3 linked regions of the Neodiprion lecontei genome follow. The protein of the gene in region 1 purifies or fractionates together with the protein of each later gene. This does not show direct contact. Links are inferred from orthologs where the notes say so. Each region holds a gene or a part of one and is shown in the gene's direction. Other genes may lie near its edges.

The links.
Region 2: the proteins of mediator of RNA polymerase II transcription subunit 19 (region 1) and putative RNA polymerase II subunit B1 CTD phosphatase RPAP2 purify together in Homo sapiens (affinity purification with mass spectrometry; 3 studies listed by BioGRID and IntAct, with this or other methods). This does not show direct contact. The link is inferred for Neodiprion lecontei from reciprocal best matches to the Homo sapiens genes MED19 and RPAP2.
Region 3: the proteins of mediator of RNA polymerase II transcription subunit 19 (region 1) and DNA-directed RNA polymerase II subunit RPB7 purify together in Homo sapiens (affinity purification with mass spectrometry; 3 studies listed by BioGRID and IntAct, with this or other methods). This does not show direct contact. The link is inferred for Neodiprion lecontei from reciprocal best matches to the Homo sapiens genes MED19 and POLR2G.

The regions. Positions count from the first base shown.
Region 1 is NC_060263.1:2,150,240-2,157,143, reverse strand, and holds mediator of RNA polymerase II transcription subunit 19, read left to right. Parts: upstream 1-2,922; 5' UTR 2,923-3,357; coding exon 3,358-3,544; intron 3,545-3,655; coding exon 3,656-3,812; intron 3,813-3,894; coding exon 3,895-3,994; intron 3,995-4,093; coding exon 4,094-4,375; 3' UTR 4,376-5,335; downstream 5,336-6,904. Other genes in the region: RNA-binding protein with serine-rich domain 1-B, read right to left, coding at 892-1,181, 1,276-1,523, 1,610-1,876, 1,952-2,074, 2,464-2,465; RNA-binding protein cabeza, read left to right, coding at 6,469-6,481. UniProt on the Homo sapiens protein: Component of the Mediator complex, a coactivator involved in the regulated transcription of nearly all RNA polymerase II-dependent genes.
Region 2 is NC_060261.1:546,129-553,032, reverse strand, and holds putative RNA polymerase II subunit B1 CTD phosphatase RPAP2, read left to right. Parts: upstream 1-2,709; 5' UTR 2,710-2,850; exon of another isoform or gene 2,851-3,079; 5' UTR 3,080-3,119; coding exon 3,120-3,175; intron 3,176-3,244; coding exon 3,245-3,371; intron 3,372-3,466; coding exon 3,467-4,438; intron 4,439-4,524; coding exon 4,525-4,691; intron 4,692-4,763; coding exon 4,764-4,940; intron 4,941-5,034; coding exon 5,035-5,206; 3' UTR 5,207-5,318; downstream 5,319-6,904. Other genes in the region: protein GPR107, read right to left, coding at 1,079-1,224, 1,340-1,479, 2,013-2,123, 2,258-2,347.
Region 3 is NC_060263.1:8,225,996-8,232,899, reverse strand, and holds DNA-directed RNA polymerase II subunit RPB7, read left to right. Parts: upstream 1-3,157; 5' UTR 3,158-3,428; coding exon 3,429-3,440; intron 3,441-3,524; coding exon 3,525-3,634; intron 3,635-3,852; coding exon 3,853-4,012; intron 4,013-4,093; coding exon 4,094-4,144; intron 4,145-4,214; coding exon 4,215-4,280; intron 4,281-4,776; coding exon 4,777-4,848; intron 4,849-4,920; coding exon 4,921-4,954; intron 4,955-5,071; coding exon 5,072-5,085; 3' UTR 5,086-5,345; downstream 5,346-6,904. Other genes in the region: uncharacterized protein LOC107222869, read right to left, coding at 6,099-6,387. UniProt on the Homo sapiens protein: Core component of RNA polymerase II (Pol II), a DNA-dependent RNA polymerase which synthesizes mRNA precursors and many functional non-coding RNAs using the four ribonucleoside triphosphates as substrates.

The DNA.
Region 1 (6,904 bases):
TCCGTTAAAACGATTCTCCGTGCCATGGGCTTCGTTAATTCTGTTCGGGACCCTTTCCATTATGGTTTTTGTTTTCAAATGAATTGTAAGGCTCCCACGATTTATTGACATTGTAAAGCCATTATAAAATTGTATATTATATAATTGATAATTACATACTATTTAAAGATTGTAGATATTTTTCATCAGTGCAAATTGCAAGGCGATGCAATGATTCTGTTTTGTAGATATCGCGAGCATAGAACATTTTGTGTGAATAGATTTTTTCTAAAATTGATTCTTTGTAAAAGGGTCTAATAATCATAGTTTCTATCAAAGTAACCATGACTTCAATATTTCCCAGTCCTACATTTTATCCTGCATCGTGTGTAACAATGACTGTAATCTTTAGATGGTAGCATCAATCAATGTTGTGCCTTAAAATTTTCTGCTATTCCCAAATACGTTCCAGATACTTTGAATTGGAGCAGAACTAAACTTTATCAAAATTAAATTCTATTGCTGTGTTCATTACCACTTTGTGATACTTCACTTTTGTGGATGTTGCGTTATCGCATAGATTCCTGCAAATTATGTTTTATCACATGTTCTTAACCTTCGTTTACATAAACTATGTAAAGCTGATTTCGATGAAAGTTTTGTTATTCATTATATTCGGTATATAAGGGAGGAATTTACAGTTTTTTCAACTAATATTCGACCTTTATTTGAAATATGTCACCAGTCAACAGTGATCAGGAGCCGACCAATGAAACTGGTGACTGAGGTCCGTCGGAGAAATTACAATATTCAATTTCATTACTTATCCATAATTATTTGATTACACCAGATTTTATAATAATTCCAATGTAAAAAAAATTATGCAAGATCAAGTTACACGGTCATTTGACTTTATCGAGAGCTACTTGAACTGGATCTTGTATAACGACGATGACGATGACGGGGATTTGATGGAGGACTTCGGGAGCGTGTTCTCGGTCTTCGGCGAGGAGGCGGGGGGCTTCTGCGACGATTCAATGGTGGAGAACGTCTTCGGTAACGTGGTGGCGAGTTACGACCTCCACCACCCCATCTTATAGGGGGTCGCCGGCCCATGGGAGGAGACATCCTGCGCATGGGAAGTGGCCTTGGCTTTGGCAGCAATACTGGTGCAGCAGTAATTTCTTGTCCATCTATTTGGCCTGGAATTGAGAAGTGGTGTGTTTGAAAATTATTTCAACTAATGATCAAGTTAATAGATTATTATTAATACAACTTATGCCCAAACATGTTTACCTCCATCCATGTGTTTCATAGCGTTTTCCGCTTCGTCTGCAGTTTCGAATTCGACATACGCAAAACCCTTGCCACTTGGAGGATGTAATCTGTCTAGGGGAAAATCTACCATTTTTATGATTCCATAAGTAGAGAATATTTCGACAATGTGCTCCTTGGTAACATTGCGTGTCAGCCTTCCAATATGAATTTTTGTCGGCCTTGGTGTTGGAGAACGTTCTCTACGTTTTCGCCGTGGTGAATGCGACCTGAAACAGGTGTTATAAGTTTTTTACTTTGCCTACGAAGCAAACAATATATTCTAACAGACAAATTGTAAAAGCGATAGTTTTACCTAGAACGGGCTTTGGGCTTTGGCTTTTCGGCCACTGCATTACCAGATTTCTTCTTATCTTTGTCTCTTTCCTTTTCTCGTTCTTTCTCTTTATTGTCATGCTTTCTTGAGACATCTGCGCTCTTACTCCGGCTTCTTTTGCGACCCCTGTCTCGGGAGCTTGCTGATGAACTCCCAGAGCTACTAGATGACGAACTAGACGAAGAGCTCGATCTAGAACTGCTGCCACTAGATGAACTTGAAGATGCCGAGCTGCTATCTGATGAACTGCAAAATCAATTAAGTGTAGATCGGTTCAATGTCCGTATAATGAAATTATGTCTGTAGTTGTTTGGAACATACCTCGAACCACTACTTGACGAGGAAGCAGCACGCTTCTTCTTTTCTCGCCCTTTTTCTTTCTTGTTTTCCTTGTCGGTGGCTTCTGAATCGCTCTTACCAGCGCTATCCTTGCGGCTGCGTGCCCTGGGGAAATATTTACATAATAAAAAATCAAATATTTCAATAGAATGTAATTTGTATGGTAGACTGTTCGCGAGTCACACAATAGGGGTTAGAATAAATTCGGACTTCATCATGCCGTCACCGAAGGTTTCATGAATTATCATATTTTGTTGGTATCCGAATTTACATGGGAATCCAAGATAAAAACCACCCTGCCGGTGTTTGTTGCCCACAAAAGGTTGAAATACGTTCCGAAAGCGACACTCTTAGTCACCCTTACCATACGAATAGCAACAGCGTTTAAAAAAAAAAAAAAAGCACGACACAGTTTGCTGACCATGAGCACAAAAACAATTACGGTAAATTTTGAGTCATAAAAGTAGTTTTAAATTTGCAAAATTATTACGTACATGGTTACCGGTAGTTGAACAGGCGATATGTTTTACTATCTATATTTCCTATCATAAAATGGACGTGACGATACGCTGTCCACTTTCCAGTTGTGAGCGAAAAACTCGTGGTTAAGGTATCGCGAACGCGATATCGTGTAGATATCGTAAATTTATGGTCCAGATAACATTAACACCAAAAAGGATAACCACTTTATTTATTATTTAACCCTTCAGTTTTTTTCATGCGCAAGAGTACTCGTATTTATTTCACTATGTAAAAAGCGTCATTTGCCGGCAGAAGAACGAACACACAGCTAAGCTATATGCGGTCACAGTGATGTAGAGTGTATAGAGAGTGAAACACGGTGTGCAGGTCCATTCTGTGTTCCAAAAGTGAGCGTGTACGACTCCCGCTAGTTTCATGCAGGTGTGCACTTCTAGGTTACCTAAATATTCGAAGGCCAGGAATCGTTAATGTTTCCAAATCGCAGTTTCTTGTCTGCGTCGAGTGTGGTTGAGCTCGTTGAGTGAGTTTGTCGCGATTATGGGTGTTATGTATGTCAGTTTTCATCGCGTTATTTATTGTTTTTAAACAATGTGATAAGGTCGCCGAGACTCAGCGGGCGTCCAAGTTCTTCAGCGAGGCTCCGATCCTCGCGTTTTGTCTAGCGAGATTATTAAAATAGCTGACATATGCACTAGACTGTGTAAAGTGTCGTTGATTCTCTGTGTACAGTTGCATCACACGAGGATCATCGCTGCAGTGAAATAACGTCCGGGTGGAGCATCGGCGGAGCGCACAGTTCCCATCGGTCTTTACCCTACTGTTTATTTCGCTGCAGTGCTTGTGCCAAAATAGGAAGATAAAACATTGTTACTGTAGCGAAAGGGCGATGAAGTAAAGCCAGGAGGATGATGATGGGTGATCAGTTTCGTAGTAAAGTGGAACAATACTCACCAAAATCATCACCGAGGGGAGCCCGTTCCCCTGTAGTTTCACGTCAGGACTCGACTGGAACTCTCAAAACGACGATTTCCCTCGGCAAGAACCCCTCAATCGTCCACAGTGGGCCTTTCTACTTAATGAAGGAGCCCCCTGGTGAGATTATCACTTGTCAATTTAAAACCTCGAATAATGCATAACTAAATACACGTTGCCAGTTCTTAGTTCTTTCAAGCTTAATTCAAATGTCATATAAATATTTTCTAGGGCAAAGTGAACTCACGGGGGCTACAAATTTGATGGCCTATTATGGCCTCGAGCATTCCTATAGTAAATTCAGTGGTAAAAAGCTCAAGGAACAACTCTCATCATTTTTGCCAAATTTACCTGGTATCATCGACGCGCCTGGTCACCAAGACAATAGGTACGAACTTGAAACATTATTATTTTGTATTGTAACGCGTTTAAACTATTATTCTCATTAACATATTTCTTTTCTCTTTCAGTTCTCTAAGGTCTGTGATAGACAAGCCTCCAATCTGTGGAAAAGACCTTCTTCCACTCACCAGCGTGCAACTCGCTGGATTTAGACTACATCCCGGACCTGTGAGTTATTTCATTTCGTTATATTTACATGTTTCCGTTAAAGAAACTCATTTTATTGTTGCCCCAAAACTGTCTGATATCCGTTTCTTAATGTTACAGCTCCCAGAGCAGTATCGTTACGTAAATCAGGCACCGCAGCGAAAGCACAAGAATAAGCACAAAAAGCATAAACATAAGCCTGGCGAAACTCTGAGCGGTCAAGAGGCTACTACCACTGATATAGGGGGACCTGATCCCCATGAAAAGAAGCATAAGAAACAAAGGAAGCATGACGAGGAGAAAGAGAGAAAGAAACGGAAGAAAGAGAAAAAACGAAAAAAACAAAAACACAGCCCTGAACATCCCGGAGGTCTCACACCCTCGCAGCATTCCAATACGTGATCTCCATTCTTTCCATTTTTATTCATCTAATCGATTATACATACCCGTGTGGTTCGTACACAAAGTGAAACGAGACGACGAGTTTAATTCATTTATTCAGAAATCATAGAACTGCCCATGTGCCTTGCTCAATTCAACGCAACGTAAGAAATTTAAGCTTTTTCTTAACTAAAGAATATCCCATGTTATTTTTAAACTGCAGCCAATACATGTTAATGTATTGTCGTGCATGCATCAGTTACTGTATAGGCGAAATAAAACCTCATGGCAATTACAGTAATTTTAGATAGGATGTTTATTGGTGAACTCGGCCTGTCTATCACTCTGTTTACTCACACCATTTTAGTCCTGTAATCGGCCAAAGTGTATCCAGGAATTCACGCAGTTCTGTGAAACCTAATTTCATCGTCTCAGTTTCGATAAAAGGCTGTGTGTCCAGTAGTATAGTCTAATGTCTATATAGATTGTTTTGACTATTGAATACTAAACAAAAGAAAAACTCGGTTATGAAAAAAGATTGTTTGTATTCATGACAATTTGTCAATGCCACCAGTTGTTGGAATACCGATACTAGGAATTGAAAATCTATGTGGAACCGTTTCGAATATGTTGATTGGCCACAAGAGGTACTTTGCTAATCATCGATATTTGAGCGAAGTTTCTTGTGCAAACAATTGTTACTTACTACTCTTATAATTTGATATTAAACAAGAGAAAAGTCAATCAGATGAATGATGTGTTCACAAAACAACTAGCTAATTATAAAAGAATGAATTGATTAAGAATATTTATGCCAAGTAGTAAAATAAACGCAAAATTTATTATTCACCAAATTTCAAACGGAAACCAATATTTCATTTAATGTATGGTATAACTAATTTGTAGATTGATCGAAACATGAATTATCCTATGATATTTGTACATATTACCTACAATATAACAAATCCTGTAACATTTAAACCGAATATTTGAATAATTTAACATCTAACAATAAGAAGCAATACCAAAAAATTTAAAGAAGCCTACTGAAAATGAGACTTTTGAAATTTATTTTATCAATATCGCAGGCAAGTATATCAAAATATGTCTGCACTCACTTGCAGTTAGTCAACGCTTGGAAAACCAACGGAATCCCAAGTGTGTGATCAAACTGGAGCAAAATCAATGAAAATCATTAAAAGCTCACCGTTTTAATCCGAAAACTTGAAAGAGAAATACCAAATGCGCAAGATTATCGTGCCGTTGATTATTTCATTTTTTGTACATTCGATCTATTTTTAATTTATTTAACACATTATTGCAACAATTGTATTTTATCATATGTGTTTTATCGTTCCGCGCGTATTTGGTATTGATACCTAATTATCTTTCAAATAAAGTAAGGATAGTTTTCGTACGAAAAGCGTTTTACCCCGAGAACCCTCTCCGCCTGATGCAAGGCTACATAGTCCAGAACTGGAGAGTTAGCGGAAGAGTGAGAGCGAAAGGTATATGTGTCCTTTCGCTCTAGACTCGATTGGCCGATACGTTACCACTCGACCAATCAAATGCAGAGTGAGAGAGACGGAGTAACCCTAATATATATAAATCTTGCTCTTTCATCACTTTGGCTCCATTTTTCGCCAGTTCAATGGATGGGTAGAGCATGGAGACTAGAGTAGTAAGTATGGAGCGTGTACGTTTACGATACAATAAGTGTAACTGTGTGACTAACACATTCAATTTCATCAATCAACGCAGTATGAATCAGCGCCACGTCGATTATTTTATGTACCCTCATTTGCATCCAGAGTTTGACCATGTTTTGAACGCACCGCCATTAGAGAATGCGGTTCTTCCATAAGTACGCTCCATAGCTCTAAGTTGAGAATTACGAGTGACTGTGGTGGTAGACGTCGGCCATCGCCGTGGGTATAACTCGCGTAACTCGTAGGTATAACTTCACGATATCGCCGGTAGTCCCCAAGTTGCCGAGCCGTTCCCGCCATTACGTGTTCTCACACCCAGACGTTGCGTGTACTTTTGCGTGTGCGGTGTGCCTTGAGCAATTATAGCGTCGCTATTCGCATTTGTGAAGGACGCCACTGGGCACGATGACCGATAATCGTAAGTATTATATATTAGTTGTATAGCCGAACTTGTTTGTAGATAATATTATAGACCGTCCCTTACCGGATCGTCGTAATAATTGTGCATACGAGTTAGTAATGGATCAGCGTCTTGTCGGGCGTTTTTACTAACAGTCGTCCATGCTATTTTTCGTCGTCTTGACTTTGCCACGCCACTAATTTTATCGTATTAAACCTGATGATACCTAATTGTAGACGGTAATACTAAGTTTCTTTGCTTTCGCTCGATATCATGATTTTTCTTTCCTACCCAAGGCACGTAGTTAAGTCATAACATTAGATTTTCTTTTCGAAAATGTGATTTTGCTGCCTGATCAATAATCAACTACGAATCACGCGTTTCGTGCTTACGAGTTGCTGATTGTAACATGGAGTCTTATCATTCGTGATGTTGACATGA
Region 2 (6,904 bases), on another chromosome or scaffold:
AAACTACGTTTGATCAGCAAGTTGGATGAAATAGGTTCAGCGGTCTTGATAAACATAACGCTATAAATTTGTGAATAGGCAGCTGTTTATGATACAGTTGTGCACTGTAAAATAAATACTTGGATGCATCAGAATAAAACACAATGTACTGGAATACTGCCAACAGACATATTGGACCAACTTGAATTTTTACTACGTTTCTTTCAATGTTGTATACGAAAAGACCCTGAGTTGCTAAAAAAAAGTGTATCCACTCTATGGACAGAAATAATAAACCAATTTCAAATATACTTCATGATACTTTAAACACTAATTTTTTTCTCATTACTTTTCTTTTTTATCTTTCTTTCCTCTTGGTTCCAAACAAAGGTATGACTAAGGTTTGCTATAAAAATTTTAAATGTCCAAATCACAGTTGTACATTATTGAGAGTGCAAGGAATCTGGAATACTTATTCAATTTGTCATCTTATTTCTTAGTATTTTGAATTCCATTTTCTGTGTCCATTATGAAACTCCTTACAAATTATTCGTAATGTAAACGGTACGTATTTATAGAGCTAAATATCACGAAGTTTATGCATGAAAAATGAATATTACATACACTAGGTATCATCATTTTCTCTGTGTATTTTTTTTTTTTGAATTTATGAGACGTCTGGGAGCAAACACAAATTTAGATCACTTCTTGCTATCATTTATTTATTTTTTTAGAACTAACCCAATTAATAGTTGTATCAATTCGTAGTGTACATGGTCGAATGTATCAGTTTTGTGTCCGGTATGACTTTTTCACCTGTAGGCTCACGCAGCTACTACCATACTCATATGTAATTTAATTTTAGCTACAAATTCTTGAGGAATAAATCATTGGTGGCACTTCTGCCAGTAGTGTTGTAGTAATACTTAAAAGTTCTCTCTTTTTTTCAATTATATTTCATCACTACTGAAAATGCTTTCGATGATACAAGATGTTAGTTGTTACTCTAATCCAATATCACAGAACTTGTGGAATAAAGTAAAAACGTCCACATCTGCGACACGAACCACATTACATGAACAATTGAAATGAGACTTACCAAAATCTGACATGGCATGGTCTATTCTTGGAGAAGAGGCCGTATCCTGTAATCGTTCTGCGTTTCTCTTTAATCGAACCTGTACCACATCTTCACTCGGGTGAATGGATATCAGATTCAAGTCTTTCTTGCAGGTTACGTTCATTCTGTAAATATTTGTTATGGAGCAAAAATTAAAACTATGAATTTCCCACGTTAATACTGATTTAACGAAGTTTGGACTGCACTGTATATTTTTCCTTCCTTGTTAATTATACTTACATTGAATGCCTCAAATCCATTTTAAAATAAACAGCCTCATTCAGCTGGGCTGTTTCATCTAGTAATGGACATTTTTCTCGTTGATTTTCTGTGTACGAATTACTAACATCGCTGAGAGTTCGTTCCAAGCTGAATCCGAACTGAAATAGTTATAGTGTTATAAATGGCAGTTGCATTTAGTATTGTCCTGTAATAAATAGGCACGTAATACAATTTATCAGATGATCGGGCACTGAGTACAATACTCGTATTCATAATGTTACAAGCAAACATGCTTGTGCAATCACATTTGTCGGAATGCAAAGCGTATAATCTTGGAAAAACCTTACATCTCCCACATTAGATACCAAATTCATAAGATGTAAAAACATTATCAATGTTGGGAATAAATGATAAGTTTCCTGCGTTCACATCTACGTGATATTGCAACCTGATGGAACAGGTTCGATAAAAGTTGGGAAGAAGAAACGATTTACTAGTATATGTCAAAGTATAAAAAAATACTCATTTTCCTCTGAATGTTAACGACAGCTCATCTCACCATACAGTTATACGGAAAAGGTGAAGCGTCGGTGATGGAATGAATATTGCTGGGTGAATGTACGTATGTATGTGTATACGTACACCAGGTGTACGTATGCCAGGTAAATCGAGGGTTAAACGTCAAACCTACCACTGCATCCTCGGCGCCCTGTTCCACCTTAAAATTAGTCAAGTTTACGCGCAAAGTGCCTCCTTCGTAAAATCCGAATGTGCTGAGAGCGATGTAAGCTCTGACGTCGTTCTGCAATAAAGGAAATTGATTATTTTCCTTTGGAATGTTTCACCGATGAGACGGTACTACTGTACGTACAACACACGCGCGTGTCTAGTACGCGTATAAAGATTCCTGAAAAAAAATATAATTCGTCAACGCACCCTTATCTCAAGCTTGTGAATCCTCGCCTGAGTTAGCGAAGCTAAGGTGAGCACAACTATGCACGAAACAATCACGGATTTTGAATACATTTTTCAAATATTTATATTGTAACGTTACTTCACGTATCGGGGAACATTGCCACTTGACACACGAAACACCTCGCCCCGCAAGTTCGCACGGCGAGCAGAAGCAGCAGAAGCTGGTTCGGCAGGGATTTGGAAAATGGTATAAGATGCCGAATGCGGATGGAACTTCTAGTTACACTCGCTCGACATGGGTGGCGTCAGTGTGTTTGATTTGTTTATTTATTTATTTTTTTATTTTTTTGTTTATTTTGCTCCTTGAATCACGTGATCACGGCATTCTCTTATTAAATTTAAAAAAATAAACCTGATATTATCAACGGCAGCGCCTCCAGTGCAGAAATTATTTCTCCACATTTTCGGCCGTTTCTTCTATACGTTAAGATCGTTCTCCTTGTATCTAGACTCCATGACTGCACCACCACCTTTAATGCTCCGTGTGCACCACACTCATTTTTAACAACTTGTATGGTTGTCTTATACCAAGAACCGAGCTGTCAGTTTGACAGGTTAGAAGGAGCGATTCAAATTTCCTCGAGATTTCTCTGTAGCATCCAAATGTAGTATCTGTTAATAATGTATCGCAAATATTCCTGAATCAATTGTCAGGCTGTTGGTGGAATCTTATCAAACTATAATTGCATGTACAACCTTGTCATCGATAAAACCGACCCTAATCTCACCTAGCGTAACCTAAATATAATTCTTTTTCACGCTAATTCGCCCTTGTTGTCCCAGATATTACAGGTATAAATCATTGAAACATTGAAACACAACGATGACATCAACGTCGAGGAAACGTAACGATGGGAGCAGAACAAAAATGAAAATGAGGTAGGAAATTGATATTTTGCAAGTTTACTGGGTAGTAAGTAAAACATTTACGTTTCGTTTTATTTCCAGCAAGGAACAACTGCAGCTGGCTCTGACTAAGAAACGGCAGTGTGATGCGAGAGCTTTAGCAATTGTAGAACGGTTGATAGATGATGCAGTCGACCAAACTTGGCTTTTGGAAAATGTTAGACGAATGGTTGCTCAAGATTCGGCAATATTAATGAAATACCATTTTCGTTGTTAATTTGTATTGTATACACCGTTTAAACTATGAAATATTTTCTTCTACAGCTGGAGCATATCAATCGATGTCACATGGACGACGTAGTTGAAGAAAGAGCTATATTGAGACGGTGTGGTTATGCTCTGTGCGACAATCCATTGAAATTGAATATAAATCAAAAATATCACATATCGACTCGCAATAATAAGGTTTATGATGTAAGTCGCAGAAAAAATTTCTGCAGCAATAACTGTTATGGAGCAACAAATTACATTCTTGAACAAATGCTCACTAGCCCACTGTGGCTGAGAAATCCGAAAGAAAAGCCTTGCTTCCAGCTGCTACCTCCCACTGGATTAATTAAAAAAAGTACTCCAGGCGATGAAGTTTACCTGGGACGAGAAAACGTCTCTGTTGATTCATGCGAAATACAAAAAACTGATAAAGCTATTGTGTCTGACAAATTACCATCAACAGAGAGTAATAATGCGATTGAAAATACTATAAATAATGTACCTGATAATTCCATAAATAAATCAGGCACCGAAATCGTTGAAGGGGATGTAAGTGCTAAAGAAATAGCCAATCTTCACAAACCCGCAGAACCAGTTGCACGCCAAAGTAATAAATGTGATACTTTGGCGGTTGAACAAGATGTTCGATCAAGCATAAACAATATTTCCAAAGTAAATGCAAAAGAAGATAAAACGCGCAAAGTACATGGCAAACAAGATGTCAGGAAAAGTAAGGTGGATTCAAGCTGGTTTGTTGAACGTATCAAACATTATTTACAAGAGTGGCTTACTTTGGATTCCTTGGCTCTGTTGTCGGGAGATGTGTGGTTGAAGCAGCAAAAAATAGATGAAATTACGAAACATACAAAGGACAGTAAATTCCAAAAGAAATATGTTGAACTATGCCAAAAAATCGATTCATGCCAAGTAGATGAAGACACTGACGAGGAAGATAGTAAACGCGATTTAAAACCTCTACCAGATTACAGTGTGCTGAAAGAAGCAAGTGCCCAAATAGAGGTCAAGGTATAATAGGATTGGATGTACTGTCATTTGTCAGCAACAAATTGTCTTTATCCAATTCAAATTTACTAGTAGTCTATTTCTCGTAGGTACGAGCATTTTACCAAGGCCAAACTTTGATAGATGCAACAAAACCACCATCAGGTAACGCAGTTGCTAATGAGGAAGATGATTCCAGTACATTCATGCCAATGCTTGGAGAGCGTGAGCCTAGAACACTCAGGAGACGTATAATTTTGGAGAAACTTGATAAAGTGTAATGATGGTTCTGCATTGAGATTAGATATTCCAAATTAAAGCTCGCATTAACGCTTGTATAATATTTTAGGTTGCCAGAAATGGTGCGTACCTTGGCTGGAGGCGAGTTTGCTGTTGATGGATGTATCAGCACTAACGGGTGTGGAAAAACGGTGAAAGCTCTTGTAAACACCTTTTCGTTATCGGCTAGCAATGTTATCCCTAAGCCTGCGGAATGGAACCTTCTTGGCCTTATTTTTATAAGACTGTGAGTAGCAGATGAACTATTGAGTAATCGTATTTATCATTTCATATATTAAATTTGTTAGAAGACAGTGCATTTGTCTTTAAATTTATCGCAGGTTGAGCACCTCCGAGCCCAGGTTGAGGTTTCTATTGGGTACAGACCGAGCGTCAAAGTATATAACTATGATTCTAATGTCTTATAATTTGGAGCCTAGTGACTTGGACACGCTGGTAGCGGTGGCAACAGACATCCAGTTAGTTAGCAATAAGAATTTTCCAAAAAAATAACGATAATTCGATTTCTCCTGACGCTGACAGATCTTCAGAGATATAAAATGTATGATTCTGGTTTCTGTGATACCACGCAAGCGTGCATGCGAAATAAAATAATAAAAGTGAATTTTTGTCACGTGTTTCACAATACGTAACCCGTATTTCACGGAAATTCGCAACACCTTAAGTAAAAAGAGAAGAGAAGTGGCATGCTGTGAAAGTGAGGACAAGGAGAAGCTAGTTTGGTGATGAAGATGACTGTGAAAGAGATAATGAAACCTCGTTCGATGCGGGACATCCCTCCCAGCTGTAACGTTTTCACTTTACCAAGGAATGGCTACAAGCTTCTATAGTACCCATGGTATAACTCTATGGCCCATGGAGAGCGTAATCATAAATGTAAAGTCTCTCCAGCTGTTTAGCAACAGTTATTCCACTCAGTTTACATATACGGAGTTTTTTTTTTTTTTTTTTTTTAGAGAGAGAGAACCATCTAATGCAAAGACTTGTTCCTGGTTGGTTAATGAGAGTAGTCGCTACTAGTCGGTACAAAGTAGAGTTTGAGAGAAGGGAGAGAGCTCAGAGTCCTTACATCCAATGTAAAAGCCTCTTCCGATGATGCCCCTGATACGAGATAGGTTCTTGTTTGCAACTGATTTTCGGTTGAAAACGAGTGTCTGCAATCGATCAATACTTACCCTATATACTGACAGTCGATAACACCACTGATGCATCAAGAAAGCTGTGGATGATACAGAACACCTTTATAGAGTTTAGTACAGAGATCGATAGTCGGAAGGGTTGGAACTGAACGAATTATCATAAAAATTCATTACCTCGCTGGTGAAGCCGTGATACTGTGAGTTTTTCGTCCTGATTGTGAGTGTGAAACAAAATTCGACGATTTAAATGAATTAAAAGCACATTGAAAGGGAACCCCTCTGTTAATTGGTTAGAAATGGTTCATGTAGTGCCTAACCAAATAACCCTGGTGAATGATCCGAAGCTTGGATCACGGACTCGGGTAGGTTCCTTTACCGTTGCCGTATTTTTACCAGGGCACATTATGCCGTGGCTGTCCATCAGACTCGGGATCCTCAAACATCGGTGGTTGGACACGGTTTGCTCAATGCCGTACACCAAATTATTTAATATGCAGTATATCTCGAGAAAATTGTAAAACACGTAAATCAAAATTGTACACCGTACTTCACGTACATATACGCGAATGGATTAAGCTGGCTCTTTAAATAAGCTACGGTAATCTGTCTAATTGATAGAGTGCAAAGGTTACTGTAACTCAGTGCCTCTGAAGTGTTCTAAGTTTTCGATTAAGTGCGATTTCTGCCTAACTTGCCTCATGCGATATGACGCTGAATTATCGAACTTTTTTTATTTCTAGGTACAACCGTAAATCCTCAGCGGGAAAGATGTAAGCAGCATAACGGATTTCGAGTGGGTTTTTTTCTCGTTTTTTTTCCACAGTAACAGCCATTGGCCGCCCGACCCTTGTGTATATAAAAGAGAGCCGCTTGAGCAGGTTTCAGATAAAATTGGCTGCGTCAATCGCACTCCTGGCCGATATTACATTAGACTCTGTGTATTGAAGGTACGCCTAGTCCCGCGGTAGTTTTACTTCTTTAGTTTTCTTGGAAATTGGGTAGTAAGAAATTGAAATATGTTAGCGGGAGCGTTCGATAATTTTTCTTCTCA
Region 3 (6,904 bases), about 6.1 Mb from region 1:
ACAAATTCTGGCATAACGTAACGTAATCAAATTGCATTTTATATTATATATCATGTTCAATCATTTAACATCCAATAAATATCGATCAGCTGCAGGCTTAGCTCGCTTAGAAAAATGCTAATTGGCATACAGGATGTTTTTAATCAATTTTACAAAAGGTTGATGTACCGATAGTCTGCCAACATTTACTAGAATAATACCTACAATATTAGGGTTGAGGGGATACAACCGCGATACCATATTCTGAGTAGGCAGACTACGATACAAAAACATTTTACTCCCAACAGGTAACCAACGAAAATGTAAGTCAGTGACCACGGCGCAAATGATGAAGAATGATGTGTGTTGGAAAAAATGGAGAATCGTTTAGATCGAATATAGGTAACAGGGTAGGTAGGTGGACGATTTGGGATCCGTCGCGGGGTTTATACATGTGTGTGCGAGAGTCTGCTTCTCCGTTGGGTGGTTCCGTTGGAAAACAGGCAAGGGTAGGAAGGTCGCGATGTACCGTGATGTTGATAAATTTTGTAATCCACAGCGTCAAACGATCACAGAAAGTTTTTTCTCAAAAGACTCCATTTGAGTCTCTCGATCATTTGTAACCATTTGAATATTAACGAGATCGAATTTCCCATTTCTTGTCAGTATGCAACCACTTTTCAATTGTTATTCAATTCAATTATTCAGTCATTACCGATCATTGTTCTATTCAATTGATATCTGTGATCGTCTGAATGGGCAAATCGCATCTCTGGACTATTTATCGCGTTCCGTGGTACGGTAAATAGAGAGAGATGCTCAGCTCGAAGACTTCGCGTCGAAGAGGACCGCCGACCGTCACGCCACACAATAATGCATACCCTCCAACCCCCCTTGCGATTTCGATTTGTAATCTGAGAACAACAATCCGCATAGAAATATATTTAATTCAAAAAAATGCAGATGTGGATTGGGTATCTACAGAATTTTTCGGACCAGTCCCAGATAATACAAATTTTTTAACAGTTCAGTCTGTCGCGCCTTTTTGCGCGTAGATTTATCACGGGAATTGAACGCAGCTTTTTGCGCGTAAATTAATAACGATAATCGGTCACGTTTTGTTGTTCGTCGATTTTGCAAACAGTATATAAAAGAGTTACGCACTCTCGATGTGTTGATTTTTCAGCTCCTCGTCAATTTTTTGACGAATAATAAAGTTTCCAATTTCGACGCCACCTTTGGCACGTGGACTTGATACGTTTCAGTTATGAGGCAAAGCGCGGCATTTGAAAACTAGCGCTCAAGGCGCAGGACCAAAAATTTCGGTAGTGTATACTAGTAGTGGAATGTAGATAGTGACGTTAGCGTAAGTATTTATGAAATTTATCCAAAATTTACAGATATACTCGTTCAACTGATCGTTTTATTTGTTGTTACAGGGCAACAAAACCATTTTTTCAACAAACGCATTGAGAACTGTAGAATGTTCAGTCGAAAAAGATATTCACTTTAATGTTTCAAAGCAGAAAGAGATATCGATTCAAAAAACTTGGACTGTTTTTTATTCATCAATACAATTAATAATTGAAGCAACGAACATTAAAGCGAATATCATGTTGGACTCAACCCATTTTTTGTCAGTGTATGAACTTATGTGATTGTGCTAATCATACCTTCGTCTGTTTTAGCTAATCAAACATTTTATCTGTTTTAGCTAATCGAACACTGTGTTTCTTTCAGCTAATCAAACTTTTTGTTTGTTTCAGCTAATCAAATCTATTGTCTGTTTCAGCTCAACAGATTTTCCGTCTCTTTCAGCTAATCAAACTTTTTTACTGTTTCAGCTAATCAAATCTTCTCCCTGTTTCGATTAATTAATTTGCCTCTTTTTTCGTTAATTATATTTTTATCTGTATTGACATATGTCACTAATTATATCTTCATCTGTTGCAGGTAACAGCTTTATTGACTATACTGAAAAATCAACGTTTCATTGTTTAGGCTTACGTCTGGTCTAGGTCTGGTTCAGGGTCAGTCATCTTGTTTTCACCGATGCATAGATTTAGCGATGCAGTTCAGAATCATCATGATCACAATGTGTGGTAAAATTTATCTAGCTGTAGTTTATTTTTCAATGGTTTTACAGTCTTTTATTGCGATCGTTTTAGTGCCAGAGTTTTTTTTCTCAAGTCGCTCATAGGTCATGTTCGGTTTGTATTTTGCGGTAGAATTATTCAGCTCTCTCGTATTTTGGTGGTTGTGCTTATTCTACTCCGATTTGTTTTCATTTCTTCAAAGATTTCTGCATCGTCTTCCGATAGGTAAATGACAACATTTTACAGCTATTCGTGTTTTTGATCTTGGTTTAGTTGTAGATTGTTTTGCGTATTCACCAGGTTCTCCATTTTAGTGATTACCTCGTACCTCATAAGAAAAAAAAACCGTGCGCGAACTTCCAAAGTTAATTGCCGTTTACATATAAGATAAAAACGATCACCCTTCATATATAATTAAAACGACCATCATTCATCTATAATTAAAGCAGTCATCTTTCATCGATAATAAAATCACGGAACCCTGATGTCAGTTAAGAAATTATTTTTATATTTCAGCTGCATCTTTTTTTGAAATGAAAGTATGAGCGTTGACTGAAGATACATATTATTATCTTCAGTTAACGGTCCGAGTTAAGTATTAAACATATTTACAAAAATTACATAAGGTACATATAGGAACAATTATATATCTCTATTCTTTGATTAACTTCTTCGACTGTTTCCCATTCCTTGCATCAAGAAACGGTTTCCAACTCTGTCAACAGTAAACCAAGTGCATGTTTATTGTGCATCTATATACATAGCATTATTTTTGTCGATGCGATGGATTTAAATTGATATTGCTGAATTTGGCCTAAATGAATTTGCGTAGTTGAAAAGTAGGTATACGGCGTCCACACGGAGTTGTATGAAAATTTCAGTCTGTTCCCGTTCGTCATTCCATAGGCATAATTATATTCGACTATTCGATGAGCGATGGTAACATCAGCTACGCTGTTGAGTTGCGCGTACAAGGTAGGATGCAGGTGGCGCCGCTTGAACATGAGTTTATTTCTTCCATTTTCGATTAGGAAAAGTCTCATAAGGCTATCAGTCTTTATATATCTTCAATCATGGGTTTTCCGTGAAATATTACGTTCCACAATTTCAAACGTGCGCTATTTTTTGGGCATGCGCAGCAATTTTCCCGCGCCTGACTGCCGCGTTACTCCAACGGTCACTCGCATAGTCACATTTCGCGGCGTAATTCTGTACGAACATAACCCCAATGTGACAGATTCTGTCAGACTTAGTTTCTGAAAAGTAGGGTATCGATTTCAAGAGATTCTGTAAATACAAAAAAAAAGTAATAAGTTGGATAGCTGAAGACCGTTAACGGAGGTAAAAAACAACATGTTTTATCACGTAAGTTAACCTCCTCTTATCTTATTCGCATTGAAATGTGTTTAGTTCGAGTTGATTTGACTCAAAATTGCCATCATATTACAGATATCGTTGGAGCATGAGATCTTGTTGCATCCGAGATACTTTGGACCTCAGCTACTTGATACGGTTAAACAGAAACTGTACACTGAAGTCGAGGGAACGTGCACTGGAAAGTATGTGATAATTAATAACTGATTGAATTGCTTTTGAAAATAGGTATTGAAGTCAGGTATAGCGATTGAAATTATGCAAATCTTATTTCTCATCGCAAAACATTACGAACAGAGTGGAACTGCCTTTATTCTTATACTTTAAATGTTATAAATGACAACATTTTCCATTACGTCAAGCATTTCACTTACAAAACATTATTCACCTCGAATTTCTATAGGTATGGATTTGTCGTCGCAGTGACAACGATAGACAATATTGGAGCTGGTATTATTCAGCCAGGACAAGGTTTCGTTGTATATCCCGTAAAATATAAGGCTATTGTTTTTCGACCTTTCAAAGGAGAGGTTCTGGACGCAGTCGTAACGCAAGTCAATAAGGTATAACAAGTTGTTATGTTGATATGTGAGTTTTGATCATAATCGTACAAACATTACTCTGTGTATGTCTTACGGTTGTAGGTTGGCATGTTCGCTGAAATAGGACCATTGTCTTGTTTCATATCTCATCACGTGAGTATTTTTTTTGTTTCCCATTTATCATTTGATGTAAACCTAAATTTTTCGTTTTCTTTTATTTCAGTCCATTCCAGCCGACATGCAATTTTGTCCAAATGTCAATCCACCTTGTTATAAGTCAAAGGAAGAGGTGAGAAATTTATTATGAAATTCGATATTGGATTGTGATGTTCTGTGGAAATAATATTTTTGCTTATACAAATTTTAGCTAGTTTTAGAAAATTATGAACATCGCTTTTGATAAACGATAAAATAATATTTAGCCTTGATTCTGAAATATATATTTTTGAATTCGTGTTATTATCTATCTTCTATTAAAATTTGTCATTGAGAACAAGCCATTGTTGTCAAAGAATATGAAATACCTTTTATTGATTATAAAACAATTAGCTAAATATTGCAATGGCTTTGGTACGTTACGTTATACAAAAAGATGAATTTATCGTGGTACAATCATAATGATAGTAAAATTCATGTCAAAAAATAACTGAACTAACATGTACACGATGTTAGTGCTTCATAGAAACATTTCCCAAAGTTATTTCTTATCGAACATCGAAGGTTGTTTCGAAGGTTTCTTCTGAAACAATCTAAGGATAATCAATTTGTTATTCTTTCAATTACAGGATGTAGTAATTCAAGCAGATGACGAAATAAGATTAAAAATTGTCGGTACCAGAGTTGATGCGACAGGGATTGTAAGTACACAGATTTACAAAGAATTTTTTTAACGAACTTATTTCATTAATTTTCCTGTGAATCATTTTCAGTTTGCCATTGGTACCTTAATGGATGATTTCCTTGGTAAGATTCTGTTTAGATTATTCTGTATACATTTTTTTTTCATTTTCGAACTTACATATCTTTACTGTTAATTGAATGTTAGATTTTAACATTTAGTTTTGAATGCATGGATTCTAGGCTTGGTGATGTAATGGGAACTAATTACTGTACTTCGAAAATGTAACATATTATCCGATCCATGGACTGACATAATTTATGGCACGGAAGGAAGTGGCGACCAATGTAAAGTGTGACAATTGATCCTGGGATGTTTGTACATTCATCTAAATGACTAGTTTGTGACAAGTTCAGATGATTAATCAATGGCCCAAATCGGTTATAAGATAATAAAAGATACTTAAGTTAGGAATTACGTTTGAATTCTATGTGTAAATAAATTTTTATCTTGGGATACGTTTCTTCATTCATATGTGCAGGACTTGAAATTGTTTCACGGATTAGGTATATAGGATTGAGTGGAGTAATATAAACCAAAGGCACGGTGTACAAGTATGTATACATAATAGTTTTATTTTTTCACGGGCTATAGATGACGCTTAGCGGTGGCTTCGTTTTTAATTTACAAGCAAGTAAACTCTCTTACATTCAACGTCATCTCGTGGTTTAATTTGTCAATGACTACATTCAATCATCTGACCATCACAGTTTCTTAATAAATTATGTAATCTACGTAATGAAAATCTAACAACAAACTGCATTTGTATGTGATACAAATCAATCGTCGATAATTGTTGAGAACATCACTCACTCGAAAATTTGAATCTCAGACTGATTAGTTACACTTTTGTATGTTCCAAGTATTTGGTGTACCGGTGACTAAACTAAAACTTACCTATTCACTAGAGCTTTACTTTGTCAAATCTATCTAGAAGCAGAAGTTAATGTCTTTACTATTGAAACACCCAATTTGTCATCACATAACGCCAGTTGCTCTTTTAATTGAAAATCGTTCGGAATTGTGTCAGGTTATCATTGTTTTACATTTGGTAAATGACGCTACTAGCCACATGAATAAAATGCTAGACAACATTACATAGAAGTCGTTAGTGATATTTCGAATTTAATAATTTTATTTTCAAAGCATCTCAGGGCTGGAACAAAATTGGACAAATTTGAGATTTAAATGTTTTATTACAGTAATAAATTATTTAAGTTTTTCTAACGGTAACAAATTTGTTGCTAAATGCTCTGTATCTCCTTGTAACTTTCTAAGTAATGAATCATGTCGTCTTGACAATGGTCGCAAGAGGTACATTTCAGGTATCGTTTCACCTGGCACTAATAAGCCCAAAAACAGGGCTAGTTTTGCCGCAACTGCAGATGAGTCTTTGGTTATTGGAGTCTCATCTCGATCAGGCATCATTTTGTCTGCTACATGTTTGTAAATCAGACCCTCACCATTTACATAAAATGTAGAGAATCCGTCATACCAGCTGGAAGAAATATAGTCAAAATGTGTCTTTCCAGGTAACAGCTAATTCAGACTTTATAGTGTAGATGTTATGCTCATTTCTTTCAGAATTTTCAAATCGATTCCTGATGCAAAATATTATACAAATTTTTTAAAAATCTTCTTCAGGAACTTAAAGGTGATTTTTTTCATAAATCTCACTTCGGAAGTAAATAATGAATGACAAATCAAATATTTAGCCTAGTGTCGCTAAAAAATAGATTAATTTGTATGGCTCAAATTGCTTATTTGAATTGATTTGAGAAAGACTTAGGGGGAGGGGGGGGGTATCGTTACTTTTTTCAACATTTTTTTACAAGATACAGGCAATGTATATTAAATTAACTAATTATACCATCGTAGAGTAACATTTCAAGAATATTTTCTGAAAATTTCAGTGGAAAATATTAATACCCAAGCCTTCGGCAGCAAATCTCCGGAGACGTCACGAAAAAAAGTTGTTTTGCGGTGACGGTTGTAACTCATCACTGGGTCGTTTG